Linked DNA regions of Ovis aries. Each later gene encodes a partner of the first gene's protein in a complex. Links are inferred from orthologs where the notes say so. Each region holds a gene or a part of one and is shown in the gene's direction. Other genes may lie near its edges. The genes, in order: POLA2 and PRIM1.

Region 1 (3,821 bases):
GACAGCTACTCTTTTTAAATTTTTTAATATTTATTTATTTCTTTGACTGTGCCGGGTCTTAGTTGCAGCATGTAGGATCTAGTTCCCTGACCAGGGACTGAACCCAGGCTCCCCTCCATTGGGAGTGCAGAGTCCGAGCCACTGGATCACCAGGGAAGTCCCACCAGCTGCTCTTTTGCCCCTGTGCTCACCATAAATCTTCTGGTTGTAGTCCGACTTTCCACATGTCCTGCCTGACAGAGAAAGATGTATCAGCCTGGGGATTTGAAGTTCCCATGCTTCTGGCATCTTTTTTCTAATAAATGAATAATCTGGCTAAAATTTGGGTTCCTGTGTGCTCTGAGGATGAGTTCCCCCCAGGGTGTGAGACTGCAGTCCCTCTGTATGTCTCATTATGGGTGGGTAAACCAGCCAATAGTATTAGCAGTGAGTCTCCTGAGCTTGCTGCGAGTGAGCACACCCCAGGAACGTCTCGAGCTGGTTTGCTGGCACAATCAGGCTTCACCACGTGGCTGAGGGCTGAGCCCCAAGGCTCTGCTCTTTCCCAGAGTCCTGTCCTCTTGCTTCATCCTGGGAGATGGACCTGGAGCTCTGTAGCCCCCTATGTATTAGAAGGGTCTTCGGGAAAAATAGTTTGAGAAAAACCTATTGAAACCGTAAAATCTTTGCCATCGTTTGGCCCAGTAATCGCTCCTAGTAAGAATCTCTCATAAGAAATTATCCAAATTCCAGGAAAAGCTATTGTGTGATAGTGAGCACCTCAGTATTTGTTGTCTCCAGAAACAGATACACCCAACAACAGAGAAGTAGTTACGTAAACTATTATATATCAATTCCATCAACACAGCTACCAGAAAGGATGAAGACTGACAATGTGGGAGAAATGCTCAGAATTAATATAGAGCAAAAAACTCATAATATACAATACTTCAATGAAGGATCATATTCAAACTAAGATTATAACTATTAGAATTTTTTCAATTGGAAAAATATTGAAATACTAGAAAGGAGTATTTTTAAATGGCTGTTGTATAAGTGTAGCACATAAGGAAGGGTCCTTTTAAAATCTAGTTTCCATTCCAGCCACTTAAGGGTGGTTTCGAATCCTGCTTTCTTTCTCCTTGCCTGTCCCTAGTCACCCCGTAGGCAGCTTTGGTGGCATAACCTAAACCCGCAGCCAGGAGGAGCCCAAGGGCAGGGGAACGCTGGCCAACTAGCCAGCTGCCTGGTTTCCCTCCAGCCGAGGATTTTGTCTTTGCTCAGCCACAGTCCGTTGTCCCAGACTCTGGGGAGCAAGGGATCTCGGGATTTGCCGGTTTCACCCTCCACTCCAGGCATCTCTTTGGATTCTTCTTGATGAGCAAAACCACCCAGAAAACAAAACTGACCATCAGTGAGGCGTGTGCTAAATACTCTCCAAGTATGAGCTCACCCGTGTTATCTGCCTGGAGTCACTCCCTTCTTTAATTCTGAAAATGTGTGGTAGACTTTGCCAGAATAAATAGTAACATGGTCCCATCCCTTGACAGGAAAATGTGTCCGTGCAGGTTAAAACTATGTGTGTAGCCAAACTCCCAGCTGTGCTAAAGCAGAGAGGTGGGGAAGGAAAATGAACACGCGAGCGATTTGACAGGACAGATCGCCTGCTTGGCAGTCCTGTCGGGGGATGTTGTTGGCATTTGTTTCTTAGTTGCCTCCCAAATGGAGACAGCGTACTGCCGAGGACTGTATTACAGTTGCTAAAGTCTGAGATTCTGCTTGAAAGATGGGGCCTTCAGAAGAAACCCAGCCCTGTGTGGTCTGTGCCCTTCATCCGGGCACGTCCCCCCTTTTTTCCTAAGGATATGCGTGCTTCACTTAGCAACCCGAGTCTAGAGTAACTGCGCCCTTCTCCTGCTTTGCTTCTAGGGTTCTCAGAAGCGAACTATCACTACCCCAGAAACCCCCCTCACAAAAAGAAGTGTGTCTGCTCGGAGCCCCCATCAGCTCCTCTCACCATCGAGTTTCTCTCCAAGGTATGGATTCTGATAATTCAGCTGTCAGGCAGCAGGCCCGCCCTCCCCTCTCTCTGGTTACCTGGTAGAGGCTGACACTACAACCTGACTTAAGGAAGAGAGGTGGACGTTTCCCTCTGCAGTCGACTGGCTAGAAGACCGACTGCTCCCTCCCCTCCCCGCCCTCATCCTGTGTGGAAAGTTACTGTTTCTTACTGGTAGTTAAGGAAACTCACTTTCCACCCTCTTTTCTAGGGCTCATTTCCTAGCTCAGAACCTGATACCTCCTACCAAAAACAACCTGTCTATTCAGAAGTTGGGGAGCCTGCAAGTCTCTTGCCAGGAGGAGGCTAATAGGTTTCCACCTGCTTCTGTTAGTTCATGTGTTGTTGGGTTTCTTTCTTTCTTCTTTTTTTTTAGGTATTTATTTTTAAAAAAGAAAAGCACATATCTTTGTTCATAACATTGCGTAACCTGTTCTTTGTTCCTCACTCAGGTTACAGCTAGTTGCTGAGAGTTTTCTTGTCCCTGAACCTACCCCAACTTCATTGGTATTTTATCCCTGCTGCCACTTCTGCACATAAATCCACAGGGATCACGTGTGACTTTTGGAAATCCATAAATGACACGTGTTCCATGAGAGAATTCCGTAGTGGGAGCTCTGCTGAGGAGAAGAAAGGGCTTTAGGTGCTGCCGCATCGGGATGGGGCAAAGGAACGGTGGCGTGAGCCAGTTAGGGCGACACTGGCTGCCAGGAGTCACTTCTAGACCAAGCAGAGCTTAAGACTTGCCAACCTAAGACTTTTCTGTCACATCAGAAAGGAGGTGATAGGGACCTCCCTGGGAGTCCAGTGGTTAGAACTCGGCACTTTCACTGCCGTAGTCCCAGGTTTGATCCCTGTCAGGGAACTAAGATCCCACAAGCCACTTGGTAGGGCCAAAACACACGAAAGAAAGAAAGGGAGTGCTAGCATTGTTCAAGATCAGAACGGGGTCAGATTCTTTTTTTCTTCAATTTTTTAATTTATTTATTTGGCTCGGCCTAGTCTTTGTTAGAGAAGGCAGTGGCAACCCACTGCAGTACTCTTGCCTGGAAAACCCCAATGGATGGAGGAGCCTGGTAGGCTGCAGTCCATGGGGTCGCTAAGAGTCGGATACAACTGAAGCAACTTAGCAACAGCAGCAGCAGTCATAGCTGTGGCACGTGGAATCTTTAGTTGTGGCATGTGAACTCTTGGTTGCAGCCTACAGGATCTAGTTCCCCAACCAGCGGTTGAACCCCGGGCCCCCTGCATTGGGAGCACAGAGTCTTAGGCCCTGGACCACCGGGGAAGTCCTCTGAAAGGTAGTTGGATCCTGAGGGCGGATTTGACTTTAGTGTGGCCCACTCCTGCTTTCAGGAGTTTTCACCCTGGCTTCCGAATAGAACTGTGTAGACTTAGAAGGGCATCTTTGGATGCACAGAGATGGCTGGTTACAGAGTGGTTCTCGTAGGTGCCAGCACCATGGCAGCAGTTCTGTTCTCTCAACAGCAAGACTTTGAAACTTGCAGATCTGTTTGCAACAAACCCCGCGTGAGCATCTCCCTGGGTTAAAGGGCCGGCTGTAATGTGTGCCGCACAGAGCTTCGCAGGGAGGAGCTTGGCGCAGCTGAGATGCCCTGCCTCGTCATTCTGTAACGCATGCCAGTAAAGCTGACATCAGAAACTGGCTTCGTAATTTATGAAAGTAACTTCTAAATTATTCAGGTGGAGGCAGCACTGGAGACAGAGGTCATTAGTCAAGCTCGTTTGCTGCAGCCTCTGTGGAAAGGAGGAACTGGCAGCA
Region 2 (3,821 bases), on another chromosome or scaffold:
CATCTGTACAGTAGATACCTCAGTGGTTTATGGTGAAGATCTAAAAGGTTAAATACTTAGAAAAGTGTCTGTCACATATTCAGTACTCCCACATTGCCTAGTTTTCTTTAATAGTCTACAATGACTCTGTAGTATATACATTTATATAGCCCCTTTTCAAATCTGCCAGTTATGTGTTTTTAGTTTATTTTGGTAACAAGCTTAATGTTTCTTAATGTTTCTCTTAATATTCTAAAGCTTCAGTGAGTATTCCCCTTATTTAATATTCAAGATTTGAGTAACTAATTACATTCACTCGTAAGTATACATTTTTATTATATCTTTTTCCCATTAAATGGCTATAGTCTTTTCACTCTGCCTTCTACCCGTAACTCTCAATTTCCTTAATTATTTTGTTAGTCACCTGCCATTCTTTAAATTCATTATCTCATTTTTCAGATATGAATTTTATCCTCATGTCCCAGATGTGGATTTTGTAAAAGGGTAATATGTCATTTATATTATTTCCAAAGATGCTCAACACATAGGTGTCTGTTTTGATTTCAGCAAATTAAAGTAATGAAGTAAACTACTTCCATCTATTTTGTGTTCCATCTTCAGGACTCACTAAATTTGAGATTGTTCCGTACGTACATATTGGAGGATATAGGGAAGAGAAAAACAGAAATCAAAATGGATATAAGAGCAACTAGGTAATAGCTCAGCAGTCTTTCACATCTATTTTTTGGTGTTTTTAGAGAAATAAAAGGCACTAATATGAAAGTACTTTTTTTTAAGACCCAATTTTATTCTGTTTATGTATTTTTTGAAACTTTTTGGCCACATGGCATGTGGGATCTTAGTTCCCTAGGCAGGAAGAGAATCATACCCCCTGCATCGGAAGTGTGGAGTCTTAACCATTGGACCTCCAGGGAAGTCCCGAAAGTACTTTTATATTTCTAAATAAATATTCTTAACAGATTAGTGTAACCCTCTTTCTAAGCCTTAAAGTTTTAGCCAAAAATAACTCATAGGACACAGCCTATAATTATTTGTATTGTACAATATTCAGCTTATAATTTTTTGTTTTTCACAGGTCGCATTTCTGTGCCTATTGACTTACAGAAAGTGGATCAGTTTGATCCATTTACTGTTCCAACCATAAGGTATGTTCCAGATCACTGATCACTCCTTTTTTGTTTGTGACTTGTAAATGTGAAGTAAATTGGATTAGATCCCTTCTGGAGAGGCAGCTTCTCTGAGGCTGTATGATGGTGCCCTTCCAGAAGAGCATTTCCTCGTGAGTTCTACAGAACACAAATTTTTCAGCTACTATTATGCAAAAAAAAAAAGTTCAAATAAGTTTGAGAAGTGTTGACTTAAGCAAAATTTCCTAGTCTTTAATATGCTAACATGCATGGAAAACTCCAGAAAGAGAGTATGATGTTTAGAATATCCCAAATTCATTTGGCCACATTTTTTTCACAGAAAATCTTGTGAGATTCATGTGCTTTCATACACTGGGTAATATTGACCAAGAATCAACTTTTAAATTATCTTCTATTATTTGTAGTTCCATTTGCCATGAGTTGGATGTTATTTCTACTAAAGAAGAAAAAGAGAATGGAGCTGAATCTGATATTAAACACAGAACCAGAGGTAGGTTAGTATATTGAAGTCTCACTTTAACATAATCTTTTTATATTGACGTCTTTCTGTGACTCAGTAATTAATTTGCCTTGGATTCAGACCAGAATGGATCATTATTTATCCTGAAACCAGCTCAGTAGCAAATAATATGATCACAATGTTTCTCTCCTTCATCAGTTGCCCAAATGGTGCTGTTGAATCCAATGTGAGTCTACAGATATTTACAAAATAACATTTAATGCCAGGATCTATACTGAAAGATTAAATTGTCAATTGATTTTGACAGTTGTTTGAATCTCACAGTCTTAGATTCAATAACTATCTACTTAACAACTACCATGTATGCAGTATTTCGTTCTCTACTTATTTTTGTATCCAGATGAGTGTTATGTTAAATATATGTCTAAACTGTAACTGAATTGTATATCCAATAATTTGAAAGAGATGGGAATATAAAACGGCCTGTTCAGTTCAGTTCAGTCGCTCAGTCGTGTCCGACTCTTTGCGACCCCATGAATTGCAGCACGCCAGGCCTCCCTGTTCATCACCATCTCCCTGAGTTAGTGAAAGTCAAATCTTATACCAATACCCAAGAGACACTATAGCAATAGTTCAACACTACTTTCTATGATGAAAATGTCATGCACTGTCCAAATGGTAATCACTAGCCTTTATACATGACTTTTGAGAACTTGAAATGTGAGAAACTGAATTTTTAGCTTCATTTAATTTAAATAGCCTCATGTGACTCGTGACTACTGTAATGGGCAGAACAGATCTCTGATTGATCTTTTTAGTCAAATGTTGCTACCTTGCTTTCAGAATCCAAGCTCAAATGTCACTTCATATATTTCAGCTCTAACATAAACAAGGTACATTCCTCCATCAATATTTATAGAATGATTACAAGCATTCTGTTTAAAATAATGGACAAAAGTCTCTAACAAATAAACTGGAAAATAATAAACTGGAAAAAAAAAGAACTCAGGGAAAATAAACAATGCAAGGAACAGAGGAAACCTTTTTTTAAAAAAACTGATCTCCTCAGAGATTAAGAGAAGACAGTGTATCCATGAAGCAAGACCAGAATGCTATGGGGAAAAAAACATTCAGAATAAGAAAGAGGTCTTAGAAATCAAAAACATAATCGTTAGAATAAAACTTTCACTGGAAGGGCTGGAAAAGAAAAGAGGAGACTTCCTAGAAAGTAGTGAAAAAAAAAAAAAAAAGACAAGTTAGTTATGTTTTTTAAGGAGGAAAAAGATAAAATTAAAGACTGATTCAGGAGGTCTAATATCTGACAGAAAAAGAACAAATAAAATAGGGAGGGAAAAAATTGCCAAAATTATATATGAAAACATCCCAGAAATGAGCCCTTTGTTAAAAGGGCTCAGCATAATGAGAATGATATGCCTACACCAAGGCACATCGTTTTGAAATTTAACAGAATTAAGAGAAGATCTTAAGAGCTTTCAGACCCCTTCCTACAGTCCCTCCCCACAAAAAAGCCATGGACCTAGGAAGAATGGCCTTAAATTTCTAAGTAAAAATGGAAGTATTCATTTTTAGAAGTAAGTGCTAGAAAAGAAAAAAGTAGTTGCCATTCAAGAAGATGGAAAGGTTAGCAGGGAGCTGCTATTTTTTTCCACAAAAACCTGTTAATACTATTTTACTTTTTTTTTTTTTAGCAAATTACTTTTAACACAACTTTTTAAATTTAATAATAAAAGAATAATAAATTTAATAGTATCTCTTTGTGGACATCTTTTTATTTTATTCAGAGGTTTTAAGAAAGCAAGTTTTGGCTCCCTATAAGGAGAAGCTTTATAATAAATATCTGTTCGGAAATAAACTGCTCTTTCAAGTATTCATACAGGCTATTAGCCGTGAGTAAGTCAGGGATGCTTTAGATGAGGTGGGAGGCTGGCATAGGTGATATATATAAGTTCTTATTATTTCTTTAATTTCTATGATTCTAAACTTTTGTCCATTTTCATATTAGTACCATTTGTTCCTTCCTTTCTGCTTCCCAAATACTGGTATGTTCTCTACCTTCCTCACTGACTATCTAATTAAATCTTTTTTCTAAGACCCAGTTCATAGCTACCTCAGTCAACTGTGATTGGTCAGTTCTTTGGACACAAAATTATCCGTATGCCTGTTTGGCCTTTAATTATATGTTGTCTTCTGTT

Evidence for each region.
Region 2: POLA2 (region 1) and PRIM1 share a complex: the UniProt entries of both Homo sapiens proteins name them as parts of the alpha DNA polymerase complex. The link is inferred for Ovis aries from reciprocal best matches to the Homo sapiens genes POLA2 and PRIM1.

The regions. Positions count from the first base shown.
Region 1 is NC_056074.1:39,931,357-39,935,177, forward strand, and holds part of POLA2 (DNA polymerase alpha subunit B), read left to right. Parts: intron 1-1,908; coding exon 1,909-2,015; intron 2,016-3,821. UniProt on the Homo sapiens protein: Accessory subunit of the DNA polymerase alpha complex (also known as the alpha DNA polymerase-primase complex) which plays an essential role in the initiation of DNA synthesis.
Region 2 is NC_056056.1:162,928,550-162,932,370, forward strand, and holds part of PRIM1 (DNA primase small subunit), read left to right. Parts: intron 1-1,075; coding exon 1,076-1,145; intron 1,146-1,552; coding exon 1,553-1,638; intron 1,639-3,821. UniProt on the Homo sapiens protein: Catalytic subunit of the DNA primase complex and component of the DNA polymerase alpha complex (also known as the alpha DNA polymerase-primase complex - primosome/replisome) which play an essential role in the initiation of DNA synthesis.